Diceros bicornis minor: one gene and its partner. The protein of the gene in region 1 interacts with the protein of each later gene in a biochemical or structural test. Links are inferred from orthologs where the notes say so. Each region holds a gene or a part of one and is shown in the gene's direction. Other genes may lie near its edges.

The links.
Region 2: the proteins of RAD51 (region 1) and RAD52 form a complex in vitro, tested with the Homo sapiens proteins (6 studies listed by BioGRID). The link is inferred for Diceros bicornis minor from reciprocal best matches to the Homo sapiens genes RAD51 and RAD52.

Annotation. Positions count from the first base shown.
Region 1 is NC_080744.1:38,529,160-38,532,908, forward strand, and holds the start of RAD51 (DNA repair protein RAD51 homolog 1), read left to right. Parts: upstream 1-1,182; 5' UTR 1,183-1,232; exon of another isoform or gene 1,233-1,429; intron 1,430-2,030; exon of another isoform or gene 2,031-2,112; intron 2,113-3,749.
Region 2 is NC_080756.1:59,530,682-59,534,430, reverse strand, and holds the start of RAD52 (DNA repair protein RAD52 homolog), read left to right. Parts: upstream 1-1,231; 5' UTR 1,232-1,322; intron 1,323-1,622; exon of another isoform or gene 1,623-2,655; intron 2,656-3,749. UniProt on the Homo sapiens protein: Involved in double-stranded break repair. Plays a central role in genetic recombination and DNA repair by promoting the annealing of complementary single-stranded DNA and by stimulation of the RAD51 recombinase.

The DNA of each region.
Region 1 (3,749 bases):
TATCCCCAGGTACTATATGTAATCACTAAGTTAGGGTGATTCTACCTCCAGAATGCTTTTTGAACTTGTTCTTTCTGGCATTGCTCTAATTCAAGCCTTCATCTCTTGCCTGAAATATTGCCAAGAGCTTCCTGACAGTTTTTGCTGTCTTGACTCTCACTCTCCCGAAATCTATCCTTCATTGCCACGTGATAATGGTGTGAGGATTAAATAAAAACTTTATGAACTTTGAAGCACTCCACAAATATAAAGTATTGGTGGAGAAAAAAGTAGATCTAACCACATGACTCGTCTGCTTAAAAATTTTCAATGATTTCCCCATTACCTAAATAAAGACAAAGCTCCATACTTGGTCTTAAGCCTCTTCATAGCCTGAACTAAACGTAACTTTCCAGTCTCAGCACCTCTTACGACACTTTTCCTCCCTCATCAGACAATACTATTCCTTGACCATGTCGTTAATGTCCATGCCCACACTGCTCTGTTTATGTCTTCTCTCTCTTCCTCGCCTGGGAAACCCTATTGACTCTTTAAAATCGGAATCACAGGTCAAACTTTCTAGTAAACCATAAGGTTTACCCTCTCACAATCAATGCCTCTTTCCTCTGGAGTCCTGCAAATCTTCAGTAATGTACCACAGCTTGACTAATACTTCAGCCATTTCTTTCTTCCCTCCACTAGCTCTATTTCCCAGTTTAATCCATCTGCTCGAGTGTCCTCAGCTCCACCGCCTGCAGGGGCCTGGAAAGCGCCCGGCTCTGACAATTTGACTGAACCGGAGGCTCACAGCTATCTGAAGTGCCAAAAGCTCACGTTTAGAAACTTCAGAAGCAAATCAACAACAGCTCTCCAGAGCCACGCTATTTCCCAGGAGGGCTAAGGAACTACAGTCGCGGCGTCCGCCGGCGGTGCATACTGGGAGATGTAATCTCGGGCCAACCCCACTACCTCTTGGGAGTTGTAGTCCTCGATCTGGTAAGGAGAAGAAAGCTGCAACTCCCAAATTTTGAATTAGCCCTTAGGAGGAAAAGGAAGAGGGCAATCCATAATACCATGCAAGGTCAAGTTCCGTTGACCCATCTCTTAAGCTCGCGAGCAGTGGCTGAAGGGGCTAGAAGGCGGATCCGAGAAGGCCGGGGAGACGTTACGTTGACGCGGGCGTGACCCTGCCAGAGGTTTGGCGGGTTTTCCGAAAGCTGCCGGACGGCGCGCGCGCTGAGGGCTGAGGAGAGGTGAGACGGGCTCCGGGGCGCGTAGTCGGGAGCTGAAGCTCACCTGGGTTGTGTGCAGGGGCCAGAGCAAGGGAGTAGAGAAGTGAGGCGCAAGCGAGGGGGTCTGGAGTCCGTCCGGGGTCGAGCGCGCCCGAGCCAGCGGAGGGAAGTCGGAGCGCGCAGCCCGCCCGGGAGAGTAGCGAGCGCCGCAAGCCAAGGTGAGTGTGTAAGGCGCAGACCGGGCCCCTTTCCACCGCCGGGCTCGTCCCTGCGTTAGCCGGACCGGGCCCCGGGCCCTTGCTCCCCCGGCCGGCTTATGGGGCCCCTCTGCGCCGAGAAGCTCCAAGATGGCGGGGCGGAGCTGGGGCGTGCCCGGGCACATCGACCTTCGGACCTCGTTGTGGCAAAACAGCAGCGGACCCCAGTCTTTAGAGGTGGAAGCAACCTTAGACGGCTTCCTTTCCAACCCCTGCTTTATGGGCGTCGGCGAGGAAGCCAAGATCCGGGGAGGTGTGGTGACTTAAAGTCACAGCTGTTTCATGTCGGGGCCAGGGTTTCCGGATTTCTGGTCAGTCTTCTTTCCATTACACCGTGTTTTGCTTACAAAGTACCAAACTCCAATTGCCAAAGGGAAATTTTCGTTATCTAATGCGGAAGACCTTTTAGTGATGCCTAAGGAACGATCTGTAGTGAGGTTTGTTTTTTTTTAAACTTCTAAAGTGAAGTGTAATATGTATGTGGAAAAGTGCACAAATCAAAAGTGTACACAGCTCCATGAATTATTAACAAAATGAATATACCTGTGTAATCACCACTCAGGTAAAGAAGTAGAACGCTGTCAGCCCTGCAGAAGCCCCGCTTGTGCCCCCTTGTCTAATACTCTCCCCGCTTCTCCCCAAAGGTAACCACTATATTGACTTCTAACACCCTTGACTAATTTTGCCTGTTTTTGAATTTTGTATAAGTAATACTGTATATTTATATTTTTGTGTCTGGCTTTGCTCAACATTCTGTCTGTAGATTCATACGTCTTTGCATATAGCAGTAATTCTTTTTCGTTGTTATATTGTATTCCTTATTCATTCTACCCATGGTAGACATTTGGGTTGTTTTTAGTTTTTGGCTTTTATGAGAAAGGCTGCTGAGAACATTTCTGTATACATTTTGGTGCACATGTGTGTGCTTTTCAGTGGCTAATAATACAGAGTAGTGAAATTCTTGGGTCATAGCATTTGTCTATCTTCAGCTTTCACATTGAATACTACTTTTCCAAAGGTGTACCAGTTTACACTCAAACCAGCAGTGTTTGAGTGTTTAGTTGTTCCACATGATTGCTAACACTTGATATTGTCAATCTTTTTAATTTTAGCTATTCTGGTAGGTATATAGTTGTATCTTGTGGTTTTAGTATTTAATTTCCCTGATTCTTAATGAGGTTAAACATTTGTTCATATGTTTGTTGGGCCATTTGACTATCTTCTGTTGTGAAGGCCTTGTTCACATCCATTGCCTGTTTTTCTCTTGGGTTGCCTGTCTTGCTGATTTGAAGGAATTCTTTATATATTCTGGTTATCAGCCCCTGGTGTATATATGTGGTAAATATTTTCTCCGCTCACTATAGTTTGACTTCATTCCCTTCATGGTGTCTTTTAATGGATAGAAGTTCTAAATAAAAGTATAGTCTAGTTTTTCAGTCTTTTCGTTTTTGGTTATTGCTTTACGTATCTAGTTTAAGAAGTCTTTCTCTGTCCCAAAGTTGTGAAGATATTTGTCTATATTCTAAAAGCTTTGTTTTTCCCATTACACTTAGATCTATAATCTACATTGGAAATTGATTATTTTTCTGTGGTATGAGATAGAGATCAAGTTTATTTTATTCTATAAGGCTATCCAATCAATCCAGTACTATTAATTGAAAAGACCATCCTTTCCCCATTACTCTGCAGTGCCATCTTTTCCGTAAATTATGAAGGGAGACATTTAAATTTAAATTATGTTCAGCTGATTCGATATTTGGACTTATCATAGACTCACATTATGCTAAATCTGCCATCTACGAGATCTGTATCTGTACCAATCAAGAACAAATGGTCATGTCAAGTCTCTAAGAATGGAGATTTCATACCTGTTATCTTTTTTTTTTTTTTGTGAGGAAGATCAGCCCTGAGCTAACATCCATGCTAATCCTCCTTTTTGCTGAGGAAGACCGGCTCTGAGCTAACATCTATTGCCAATCCTCCTCCTTTTTTTTTCCCCCAAAGCCCCAGTAGATAGTTGTATGTCATAGTTGTACATCCTTCTAGTTGCTGTATGTGGGACGCGGCCTCAGCATGGCCAGAGAAGCAGTGCGTCGGTGCGCGCCCGGGATCCGAACCCGGGCTGCCAGTAGCGGAGCGCGCGCACTTAACCGCTAAGCCACGGGGCCAGCCCAATATCTGTTATCTTTTGAGTTAAATTTATCCTGATTGTTAAATTGTCCAGGTTGTTTTGGTGTGATTTAAGTCCATTTATTCTGTGGACATCAAGGCTTGTTCGCTT
Region 2 (3,749 bases), on another chromosome or scaffold:
TTATTTCTGCATTGGGTCTGATTCCAGGCTTTTTACTCAGCTTCCGACGGTGTTACTAAGAAGAGTGAGAAGTCATCCAAGAAATGATTTGCCCTGGATGGAATATTACTGCTCAGACAACGAACCATCTGATTAAAGGGGGTTTATTGAAACAACCAATTTGTAAAACGTAAGAGAATGATTTTGTTGGAGTCCTTAGTACTTAATTTGGGTTTGTGATGACTAAACTTTTTAATCCTGTTTCTGAGCATTGCTAACAGGATATGCAGTCATCACCCAGTTGCAAGGCACGGTTCCAAGGGACATTCTAAAGAAGCACTCCCTTCCCACAAGTCGCCACACATTTCCCTCTGGTCCTAGCTAATGTAACACGCCATCCGGGGATCAGTGGGTGTATGCAGCAGTGGTAGGAGAGAAAGGAGGCTTGGTGAACAAGTATGTCCACATTGCCTTGGTTTTGCTGTGCGTGTCTGGGGTGGAAACTACAGAGCTCTGACAACCATTATTTTTTTTTGTGAGGAAGATCAGCCCTGAGCTAACATTCATGCAAATCCTCCAACCCTCCTCTTTTTTGCTGAGGAAGACTGGCCCTAGGGCTAACATCTGTGCCCATCTTCCTCCACTTATATGGGACGCTGCCACAGCATGGCCTGACAAACGGTGCATTGGTGTACGCCCAGGATCCAAACCTGGGTCGCCAGCAGCAGAGCACGTGCACTTAGCCACTACGCCGCCACCGGGTTGGCCTCTGACAACCATTCTTAATAAGACTTAAAAGCACGGTTTTCCTTTCCTGCAATATCCCTAGTGTGCACCAATAATACCAGGAAGTTCTTCGCCCGCCCCATCACCGCACTCTGACTGGGACTGGGTTTGTGAGGTCCTGTGGGAAGGGGCGAGAGAAGTGGGCCCTAAGAGGCCTTAGATTAAGCCGCATGCACCGGGCGAGCTGGCCGGACCCGCCAGGGGGCAGCAGAGATCTGGGCGGCCGTAGAACTGGAGGCAGGCGTCGGGGAGCCACAGGCAGAGAGAGCGAGGCGGAGACAGCGGCTCCGAACGCAGCGGTCAGCATCGCGCTTCCAGCTTGCTTTACGGCTGTCGAAAGATTGCTTTGCGGCTCCTCTCCCCTTCCGACTTGAATTACGGCTCCCCCCTCCTGTTCTTTTCGCCCCACCCCCGGCTCTCTCTCGATTTGGACCTTCTTCCCAGGGTTCTCTTGTGCTTCGTTCCCAGTTTCCTCTGCGCGGCTGTGGGTAAACTCCATTCCCTTCGCATTTAGTCTAGGGGAGCTGCGTGCGTTCGCCGCGCGCTGCGCGAGGCGCGTAAGTGGGAAGGGAAAGCGGCCCCGCTGGGGTGGTCGGCGCTGGGGTTGTGGAGCGCGGGGCGGCTCGGATCCTGAGTCAGGCGCCGGGGGCGGCGGTTGAGCTCGCCTGCGGTGCCCCCAGAGTGGCCGTGAGACTGGAGGCCTGTGCTGACTAGTCCAGTGGGGGTTCAGGAGCAGGGCTTAACTGCGAGTGGGATTGGGAGGGGCGGGGTGCAGGGGACTTGCGCCGCCACACGGGGCGCACGCACCAGGACCCGCGACGGGGTGAGGGCGGCGTCCCGTTGCTTGGGGCGGTTCCCTGCACGGGCGCCAGACCTTTGCTTGCTGCTTGTTGACAGGCGTGGAGAGCGCTGAAGTTTGTGTCGGTAGCTGATCGGAGTTGGAAGAAGTGGCTGCGGTTGGGCAGGAATTACCCATTTAAAAGGAATTTGACACTCAATTTAGACGCGTATTCAGCCTTTCTAGATGTTTTCAAAAAAGTGGAGATATAGTTCATATACTATTACATTCATACTTTAAAAAAAAATTTTCTCTTCTTTTTACTTTTTGTGAGGAAGATCAGCCCTGAGCTAACAACTGATGCCAATCCTCCTCTTTTTTTTGGCCGAGGAAGCTTGGCCCTGAGCTAACATCCTGCCCATCATCCTCTACTTTATATGCGACGCTGCTGCCACAACATGGTCTGACAAGCGGTGCCTCAGTGCGCACCGGGGATCTGAACCTGCGAACCCCAGGCCGCCAGAGAGGAGCTCGCCCACTTAAGCGTTTGTGTGGTGGGGCCGGCCCCTAATTCATACTTTTAAAGTGAACAATTCAGTGGTTTTTAGTATATTCACAAGGTTGTGCAACCATCACCATTGTCTAATTCCAGAACATTTTTGTCACCCCAAAAAGAAACCCCCAACTCATTAGCAGATACTTCTCGTTTCCCCCTAACCCCAGTCCCACTAATCTACTTTTTGTCTCTATGAATTTGCCACTTCTAGAAATTTCATATAAGTGGAATCATACAGTATTTGTCCTTTTGTGTCTGGCTTATTTCACTTAGCATAATGTTTTCAAGGTTCATCCATGTTGTAGCATGTGTCAGTACTTCACTCCTTTTTATAGCTGAATATTAATATTCCATTGTTGGGATATACCACATTGTGTTTCTCCGTTAATTGATGGGCATTTGGGTTGTTTCCCCTTTTTGACTTCCTAGACCCTTTTAAGGTGTCTACTCAGATGAATTGGATTACATCAAAATTTGAAACTTCTCATCAAAGACAACTCTAAGAAAATGAATAGGCAAGCACTGACACCTATCTGACAAAGGACTGATATCCAAGGTATGTAAAGAACCATTAGGGTTCAAGGCCTGGGACTAATCCTCTGTGGCCTGCCCTACCCTCTGCACCTGTGGCTTCATCTTCAAGTCATTCTTCTTTTTTCATGAAGAGTAGCATGTGTTTACAGCTGGGTAGTTTTATTAGCCCATTTCCTGCCAACAGTGTATGAGAGTTCTAGTTGCTTCACATCCTTGCTAACTTTTGGTGTTGTCAGTCTTTATTTTTAGCCATTCCGCTGGATGTAAAGTGGTATGTTATTAGGTTTTAATTTTAGTCCTTGATTACTCATGATGTTGAGCACTTTTTCTTGTGCTTATTGATATTTTTATATCTTCCTTTGTGAAGTGCCTGATCAAATCTTTTGCCCATGTTTTTTTTTTTAAAGATTTTATTTATTTATTTTTTTCCCCCCAAAGCCCCAGTAGATAGTTGTATGTCACAGCTGCACATCCTTCTAGTTGCTGTATGTGGGACGCGGCCTCAGCATGGCCGGAGAAGCAGTACGTCGGTGCGCGCCCGGGATCCGAACCTGGGCCGCCAGCAGCGGAGCGCGCGCACTTAACCGCTAAGCCATGGGGCCGGCCCTTTTGCCCATTTTAAATTGGATTATTTGTCTTTTTATTATTGAGTTGTAGGGGTTCTTTATATATCCTTTTTATATTATGGATATCAGTCGTTTGTGGTTGGCTATTCATTTTCTTAGAGCTGTTTTTGATAAGCAAAGTTTTACATTTTGATGTTGTCATATTTATCATTTTTTTCTGTTATAGTTATTGCTTTCAGAGTCCTGTCTAAGAAATCTTGGCCACCTCCAGTTTGTGAAAATATACTTCTGTATTTTCTTCTAGAAATTTTATAGTTTTAGCTTTTATGTTTAGGCCTGTGATCCAGCTCTAGTTTTTGTGAATGGTGTGAAAATTATTTTGTGAAAAATATTAAATTTTTTTCCCACATGGATATCCAGTTGTTCCATCATCATTTGTTGAGAGTGCCATTGTATTGCATTGATAACTTTATTGAAATTCAGATGTCTGTATAAATGGCAGTTGATTTCTGGACTCTCTCTTCTGTTCCATTGATCAATCCTTATGTCA